Linked DNA regions of Rhinolophus ferrumequinum. The protein of the gene in region 1 binds, or shares a complex with, the protein of each later gene. Links are inferred from orthologs where the notes say so. Each region holds a gene or a part of one and is shown on either strand. Other genes may lie near its edges.

Region 1 (3,744 bases):
AAGTGGGCTGAATCCTTAGTGCTCAGCCCAGGGCCTGGATCAAAGCAGGGGCCTCAAACAAGCAAAGGAAGAGACAGAGGGAGTGTTTATGGCAAAGTCATCCAGCTTAATTTATTTGGGGGAGAGGAACAGAGGCATAGGACCTTGGCCCAGCAGAATTAGAAAGGTTCCAGTTCCCTGGTGTGTCTGCTCCCACTGTTGGATGTCTGGTCTGTAGCACAGTAGGATAGTTCAGAGGCTCTGTGCCTCAGTTTCCCCACCTATAAAATGGGGACAATAATTGTACCCATTTATTGAGATGTCAGGAGGTTTAAACGCATGGAAAGCCTTTAGAACATCACCTGCCACCACACGAACACTCAGTAAGAGTTAGCCATTATGTTTATTATCTAGTCTACCTCAGCAGCCCAGCCCTACACCCCAGCACTGCTGTGTTGACTGGAGAGCCAATCTCTTTTAAGGAAAATTTTCTTGAAGGAGAAAAGAGAACTTGAAACCCATATCAGGGCCTCTGGGATGAAAGCCCGTTGCCTCTGCAGTGTCAGCATTTTTTCCAGGGCCTAAAATAAGGGCAAAGGAGGGAAGTGAGAGCTGATTCAAGACCTTGAAGGGGCGGCCAGGCGCCCTGGCCAGCGCAGGCGGAAACACATTGCTGGCGCCTGGCCTGGCCCCCGGTTTCCGCTCTGCCTGCGGCCCTTCTCCCTGGGATGTTCTCACTTCTGCTTCCTGGGCCTCCTGGCCACTGTCCCCTCTCCAGGAGAGAGACTCCCAGGAAAGACAATGCCACCTGCTGGGCATCAGAACTCCCTGGGCTTCGGGGCCTGGCCCTGCCACTGACCCACTATGTGCCCCTGGTGAGTGCAATCCCTTGGCTGTGACGATGGGAACATGGACACTCCAGCCTGGAGGGCATCCAATGAATTCAGGGCTTCTCCAAGGTCCTGCACACAGCTCCTTAAATGAATTTATCTGCCCTCACCCCCACCATAGACCCAAATCACAAAGAGCTTCTCTGTCAATTGATTTCGGGAGGGCTTAATTTATGTTTTTATTTTCTACCCATCGTGCAGCCTCTCTAACCTGAGCTTCTAATCAACGTAAAGGATTGAGTGAATTGGTGGATACCACCAAGGTCAACACCTGGGGCGTATAGCCATCCTGTGCCATGTGACAACCAGGGAAGGGGGCAGCATGATTTCTGGCAGGCTGTCTGCAAATCCCAACAGAGCTGGTGCTGCCCTGTTACGGCTGCAGCACTGCAGGCCCCAGACTCGGGGGTTGTTGCAGGGAAGAGCTTGGGCTGTGGGGTCACACCAATGTGAATCTGAAACTTGGTTCTTCCTTACCGGCTGGGTAGTGCCTTCACCTCTCTGACCTTCGGGCCAGTGGAATAATCTGCGTTCCCACCTCTGAGAGATCCTGGGAGGATTCAGTGAGGGGGTACAGAGCTCCTCGCTCATCAGCTGCTCCTGCCCTACGCTGCTGCTTCAATTGCAGCATTTCTCACCTTCCTTCTGGTCCTGACATTCTGATATCTAAAGTTTTTAACTTTTAAAGGTCTGAGTCTGTGACTGTGACATCCCAGGGTCTCGGGTTCTGCGTTCCGCTTCTGCACCCGACTCACAGGCGCCTCTCCCTCCCCTTCCCCTGCCCAGTCACCCTGGCCCCTGCCCCGGCCTCCTGGAAATATGGTCAGAAAGAGGCATTTGTCCTGTTTTGTCCTGTCCTGTTGTCCCGGATATTCATGCAGGACAGGGCTGACCCCCTCAACGTCCGCCTCCAATTTCCCTTGTGCTGGCTTGGCTGGCCCTGTCCTCCCCGGGGTGGGGGCTCAGACGTGATGCACACTGACCAAGCCCCACTTTGCACCTGTGCAGTCTTCATTCTTTCATCTCAGCCCCCCAATTCTCTCCATGCCCCAAACCTCCCCCCACCTCACTTACCCAACAGACCCCTCCATCATCAGCCCCAGGATGTCCCTGAACCTCCGCTCCTCTCTCCCTACACACACACACACACACACACACACACACACACACACACACACACACACACACACCCCAGGGTCTGGGACACAGCCCCTCCTCAGCCCAGGATCTTTGCGAGTCTCTCCCCATCAGGGGTGCTCTGACCTCATCCCCCAACTCCCTCACAGCAGCCCACCCTATCCCCGCTCACTCACTCATCCCTCCTTCTCACCCCTTACCCAGGCCTCCCGCGGGAAGGAAGACCACAGCCGCTTTGGGCTTTCCCAAATAAGGTACTGCCTAGAATCAGTGAGTCACAGGCCAGCAGAGCTGGCAGCGCCCTTAGGGACTCTCTAGGGCCTCCCTACTCAGTGTAGGTCTGCACCAGCAGCCCTGGTGTCTCCCAGGAGCTTGTTAAAAACGCAGAAGCTCAGGTAGAACCTGAAACCTACTGAGTCAGAATCTGCATTTTAACCAGATCCCCAGGTAATTTGCATGCCCGGTAAAATGTGAAAAACTGTGTTTTAGTCTAGTCATCACCACTCCCAATGCCTGTTGTTGAATAGATGTGGACACTGAAGCCCTGAGAGCATTGGGGATGGTTCAGGACACACAGGGAGTCAACATCTGAGCTGGGACTGATCCACAGCCCTGGCTGGGCTGCTTCCATCCCACCCACACTGTCTTTGCCCTCTACTGCCTTTTTAGAGCAGATAGCCACAAACCTGCTATCCAGGCGGAGATGGAAGCCCCGAGTGCATATACCCAGTGAGGGGAAAGGATTTACAGAGTCCTTACACAGGGGCCCTCTCTGTCACATTTCCCCCCACCTCCGCCCAGGGCCCTCAGTTCTGCTCTTACCATGCCAAGCTGTGGCCACCAGCAGGACCAGCAGAGCCCCAGGGCCCATGGCCTCAGTGGGGAGGCAGCAGGCCAATGCAGGGCTGGAGGGTGGGCAGGCACTGGACTCCCAGCTGCTAGCTCCGCAGGGACCAGGAACGCTGGCTGGACACGTTCCTCTCCACTGCACCAACTATTTGTCTTGTTTCCCTCTTCTTCCTCCTCCTCCTCCTTGGGCCGATCCCCTTCTTCCCCTTTTACTAGGCAAAGCAACCACAGAGTTTGGAAATCTTGGGTCTTTAGAAGAAAACAAAGCCATGAACCCCAGAGGGGAGGGGTTGGGAGTCTAGGTTCAGGGCCATCCTGAGCCTGGGGGATCTGGAGAAGTTTGGGGCCCTTATGAAGCCATCTTTAAAGGCCCCTGGCAGAAGAGACACACCCAATGTCAAGCAGTCAGTCAGTCGGTCAGTCAGTCAGTCAGTCAGTCAGTAGGGTCTCCAGAGTGGCCAGGTGGCTCTGCTCTAACTAAACCAAAAGGGAAATTAGGTTGGTCTGGGAAAGCCTGGGAATAGCAGCAAGAAACTTGCATTTACAGGATACTCACCGGCCAAGCCCTTGTCATTCATGAACTACCTTGGTCCCCACAAAAAGTTTACGTGGTAGTTACTGTTATCCTTCCCATTTCACAGATGGGAAAACTGAGGTTCAGAGAGATCAAACACTTAAATTTGTCCACGATTCCATAGCTTCCAAATGGTAGAGGTGAGATTTGGATCCAGGCAGCCTGGCTATAGAACTGCCTTTTTGTGGATTTATTAAATTACTTATTTATTTATTTTAACAGTGCCTAATGGTGCTAGCATATTTCTTAAGAAAAAAAATAGCATTCCTCTGCCCCCTCCTTTCCTAGAGGCAATTGTTTTTACCCCTTTTAGTT
Region 2 (3,744 bases), on another chromosome or scaffold:
TCCACACTGGGCTGGCTCTGCTACTGGAAAAACCAAGGGCCCAAACTCAGCTTTACTGGGAACCGATCCCATGCCAGAGACCTTTGGAGCCCTGACTGTGTGTATCAAAAGCAGCCCAACCAATTGATCAGAGGCAGGCAGCAGTACCAGCTCCAGGCCATCCCCGGCTGGCACCTGCCATCAGAGCCCCATCAGGCTTTGCATCCAGCCAGCTAACTCTTTACATGGCCAGGACATTTCCTGAGATCTCTCCCCTCTTTCAGCACCCACCTGGCCCAGAAGCTGCTCCCCCTGAGTGACAGGACTGGCTCTGACACCCTGTCATTCCCCTTCCTTCCTCTCTCCCTCCTCCTCACCCCTTAGCCCTCTCCCTGGCCCTAAGTCTCCCCTTCTCCAACCAGAGGTAGAGAAAAACCCTTGGGCTTTCTTTCCCCAGCTGGAGGTCGCCTCCTGGCAGCTGATGCCCCCAGATCCCGGGAAATGCTGTCAGGGTGGGGTGAGGGCTGGCACCTTCCTGAGCTCTAGGCTCTGCCTTGGTAATCCAGATGATAGGACACATACTGCAAATAAATGGCACATTGGAAAAACACGGGGAGGCTGTGACACAGCCCACAACAACCTGCTGATGTACATATAACTAAAAGCCCAAATGTTTGCCAGCTCTTACCAGGGAGAAGAGACCCTGGCCGGGCTACCAGGGAGGCTGCAGAGAGGAGGGACCTTAGTGAGACCTTGAAAGATGCGGAGATGTTGGTGGCAGAGAGAGGGAGGGTGAGGCCGGGAGCGAAGAGGCACAGGATGGCCCATTGCCATTCAGCACTGGCATGGGTGAGGCTCCTGGCCTGACCTAGGGAAGGGAGAGTGTAGAAGGGGGAGGACTGTCACGGGGGCACCTTTGGGCTGTGTTGGGCAGTTGAGGAGGTAGCCCTGGGTGGGAATGACTGCCCAGGTCCTCAGGAACCTCTGGTTCAGGGCCCAGTAGAGGAAACGGGAACATGCAGAAGGTATGTCTGCTCCAGGCTGGCTGTCACCGAGGCTCTGCGCCTGGTGTAACTGGTACGGAGGAAAGGGCCATGGGGACGGGAAGCTCAGGAAGACATCCTTGCCACAGCACTTCAAGATAGTGATGTTTGGGGACAGCAAAGGGAGGGCAATGCTTAACCCCAAGGGCAGACTGGTTTTGGAGCTGTTTCAGGCTTTAGTGTGGGAGGAGTGCAGCCCCCATGAGGGAGACCTACTTTATGGGTGCCAAAGGGGGCCACCCCTGCACCTGGGTCCCAATTTTGTCTCAGAGGAGGATCTGGACTGGCACCAAAGAGTTAACATTCTAGCTTGTATCTGGCTGGGCTGCCTCTTCTCCCGCTTCTTTCTTCCTCCCACCCACACCAGCCTTGGCGTCTGGGGCAGCCAGGAAGGAGTCTGTTGCAGGCTCAGAGAGATGCTGAGACGTCTCAGCCTAGCTGTCCATCCTCACCTGTCCCCAGTCTGTTCCATCTTCCCCATCAGTAAGGTCCCTGGAGAGACCTTGGCACCATGCGTCCTTGGGCTGTCCTGTCTAAAACTACCCCCCTTTTCTGTTCTTTTTCACTTTCCACATGGTCTCACCTCCAGCTCCTTATTTTGTCCTGCTGCTTCTCACCTTGCCCTCCCGGGCTTCCTCTCTCAGCTCTGCTCTCCCTCTCCCACAACCTGCAACTCCCTCCCTGACCCTCCAAACATTTTTCTGCTTCTCTGCCCCCATATTTCTCCTGCCATTCTCCTCCAGGGTTCCGCAGAAGCAAACCCATCGGGAGACACCTACTGTTCATGAACCGGTGCAGCCATGTACTTTCTAGGAGCTGCAGCAGGCACTGCCCTCGGTGGGGGCAGGACTTTGCCGGAGCCGTCCTGAGCGGCCCCAGCCCCTGTCCACAGCTCCCCAGCACCAAACCCTCCTTCTACCTTCCTCTACCATCACCAAGCCCAGGATCTCTCCAACGGACTGCACCCGAGTTTGCAAGAAAAAGATTCAGAGCTAGCCCCAGGCAACTCTGGAGTCTGGTCCCCCAAAACAGAATTGATCCAGCCACCCAAGTCCCCAACAGTTCCTGATTATGAGCTGTAACATGTAGAGGCTTGCCCAGCTCCTTACTTCTGCCAGCAGTTCCTGGGCACAAGCCCTGGCATTCCATAAGTGGATGACCCTGAACTTTCTCCATCCAGAAGCGCCCACTCCCCAGCAGAGTCTGGAAGCATGTGCATGGCGGACGAGGAAGGTACCCACTGGGGAAGGTGCTACACTCAGCACACAGCCACCCCGCCTGTCCCGTAGCGATAGCCCGTCAGAAGGGACAGAGGCAGGGGCCCCCTAGGACATGGAGCCCCTGCCCGTGGCTGCAAACACCTCTCTCTCTCTCGCCAGCGAGTGGCTCAGTGTACCCCTCCGTGCAATGGGGTGAGCAGCCTTCCCTTTCCCAGGGAAGCGCCGCAGCCCCCGGAGCAGCTGCAGGGCCGCCTCCGGTGTCAGCCCGAGTGCAACCCCGCCGCGCCGGCAGTCCGAGCGCACGCAAAGATGGGCTGGCAGCCGGAACCCGCGGCCGCGGCTGGAGAGCCTCGGCAGCCTGCGTGCCGACGCAGTTGGCTTCGAGGGGCTGCGCCCGCCGCCGAGCTCGCGTCCCAGCCCGACCCCGCGCCGCCGCCGTGGCCGCAGCTTACCGTGGGAGGGCAGCGCCCGGCGGCGCCCCGCGCGGTCATACGGGCAGCTGGGTCCCGGCCCGGCGCGTCGGCCGCCCTCGCTCACTCGCTGGCTCGCTGGCCGCCGCCGAGTCCGCGCCCCGCCGAGGGCCGCACCGCTGTCCTGGGAGTGCGGAGGGCCGGCGGCGGCGTGGAGAGCACCAGGCTGACTTTCACTTTCCGCAGCCGGCTCCACCGGCCAGCTCCTCGGCACAGCCTTTTAAAGGGAGTTTGGGGGCATGTGGTTTATGGGAAATCACCTTGGACAGGCGCCAGACACACACACGCGCGCACACACACACACGCGCGCGCGCGCGCGCGCACTGACACAGACACAGACACACTCGAGAGGCCCACTGAGCCGCCTCCCCGCCCCCACCCTTGGGCTGGGCTTCCCCGCCAGTCTTCCAGTGGCCTTTTCTTCTGTGCTCAACTCCAAAGCCTTCGGCAAAGTAACGCGGGCTCCACCGCCTCGCGCCCCTCCGCGAGCGCGCTGCGGCACCGAGCCTTTCCCTTCCTTTCCTTTCCTTCTGGGCTTTCCAGGCGGATCCGGTGCTCTCTCCCTCTTTCTAACATTCCTCTCAAGGGACTTTCCCTCTAGGCCTGAAAATTCCCAAATCTGACCAGGAAATGGGCTGAGAACAGGGACAAACACTGAAGACTGGAGCCTCCCCGGCTGTGCACGAAGCCGCACCTGGTGGAGCCTGAGTCAGCGGGTTTGCAGGCAGTCCCCTCCTTCCGAGGAGCCCCCAAGCAGCCCTCCTAGGGTCTTGTCTCCAATTCTTGGGGCATGGTCCAGGCAGGGAGGCTAGCTACCTGACCAGGAGGGGAAGGATTGTGTCCTGGGCTAGGGGGCTGGGAGGCTCTGCTGTGTGCCAGGGGCACTCTGGGCACTTGACCTGCGGGTGATGTAAATGCTGGCTGGTACCCTTGCTCCCTGCTGATCGCTAAAACATAGGGCGATTGGCCCCTGGCCCCTAGATTTCCCTTGGAGCTTTTGGAAATGCATTTACTGAGAAGATTGATCACGTT

What was found.
Region 2: the proteins of CSF1R (region 1) and CSF1 are in contact, whole or in part, in a crystal structure (PDB 3EJJ), measured with the Mus musculus proteins. The link is inferred for Rhinolophus ferrumequinum from reciprocal best matches to the Homo sapiens genes CSF1R and CSF1. Residues at the interface, in NP_001032948.2 of Mus musculus: Arg142, Arg146, Leu149, Arg150, Lys151, Lys168, Val169, Leu170, Ser172, Asn173, Val231, Gly232, Phe233, Leu248, Ser250, Asp251, Phe252, Asp254, Asn255, Tyr257, Lys259; in NP_001107002.1 of Mus musculus: His38, His41, Met42, Gly44, Asn45, Gly46, His47, Phe87, Gln90, Asp91, Asp94, Arg98, Asp101, Glu110, Arg111, Gln113, Glu114, Leu115, Asn117.

The regions. Positions count from the first base shown.
Region 1 is NC_046307.1:22,342,643-22,346,386, forward strand, and holds the start of CSF1R (macrophage colony-stimulating factor 1 receptor), read right to left. Parts: upstream 2,878-3,744; coding exon 2,829-2,877; intron 1-2,828. UniProt on the Homo sapiens protein: Tyrosine-protein kinase that acts as a cell-surface receptor for CSF1 and IL34 and plays an essential role in the regulation of survival, proliferation and differentiation of hematopoietic precursor cells, especially mononuclear phagocytes, such as macrophages and monocytes.
Region 2 is NC_046305.1:41,945,259-41,949,002, reverse strand, and holds the start of CSF1 (macrophage colony-stimulating factor 1), read right to left. Parts: upstream 2,936-3,744; 5' UTR 2,734-2,935; coding exon 2,695-2,733; intron 1-2,694. UniProt on the Homo sapiens protein: Cytokine that plays an essential role in the regulation of survival, proliferation and differentiation of hematopoietic precursor cells, especially mononuclear phagocytes, such as macrophages and monocytes.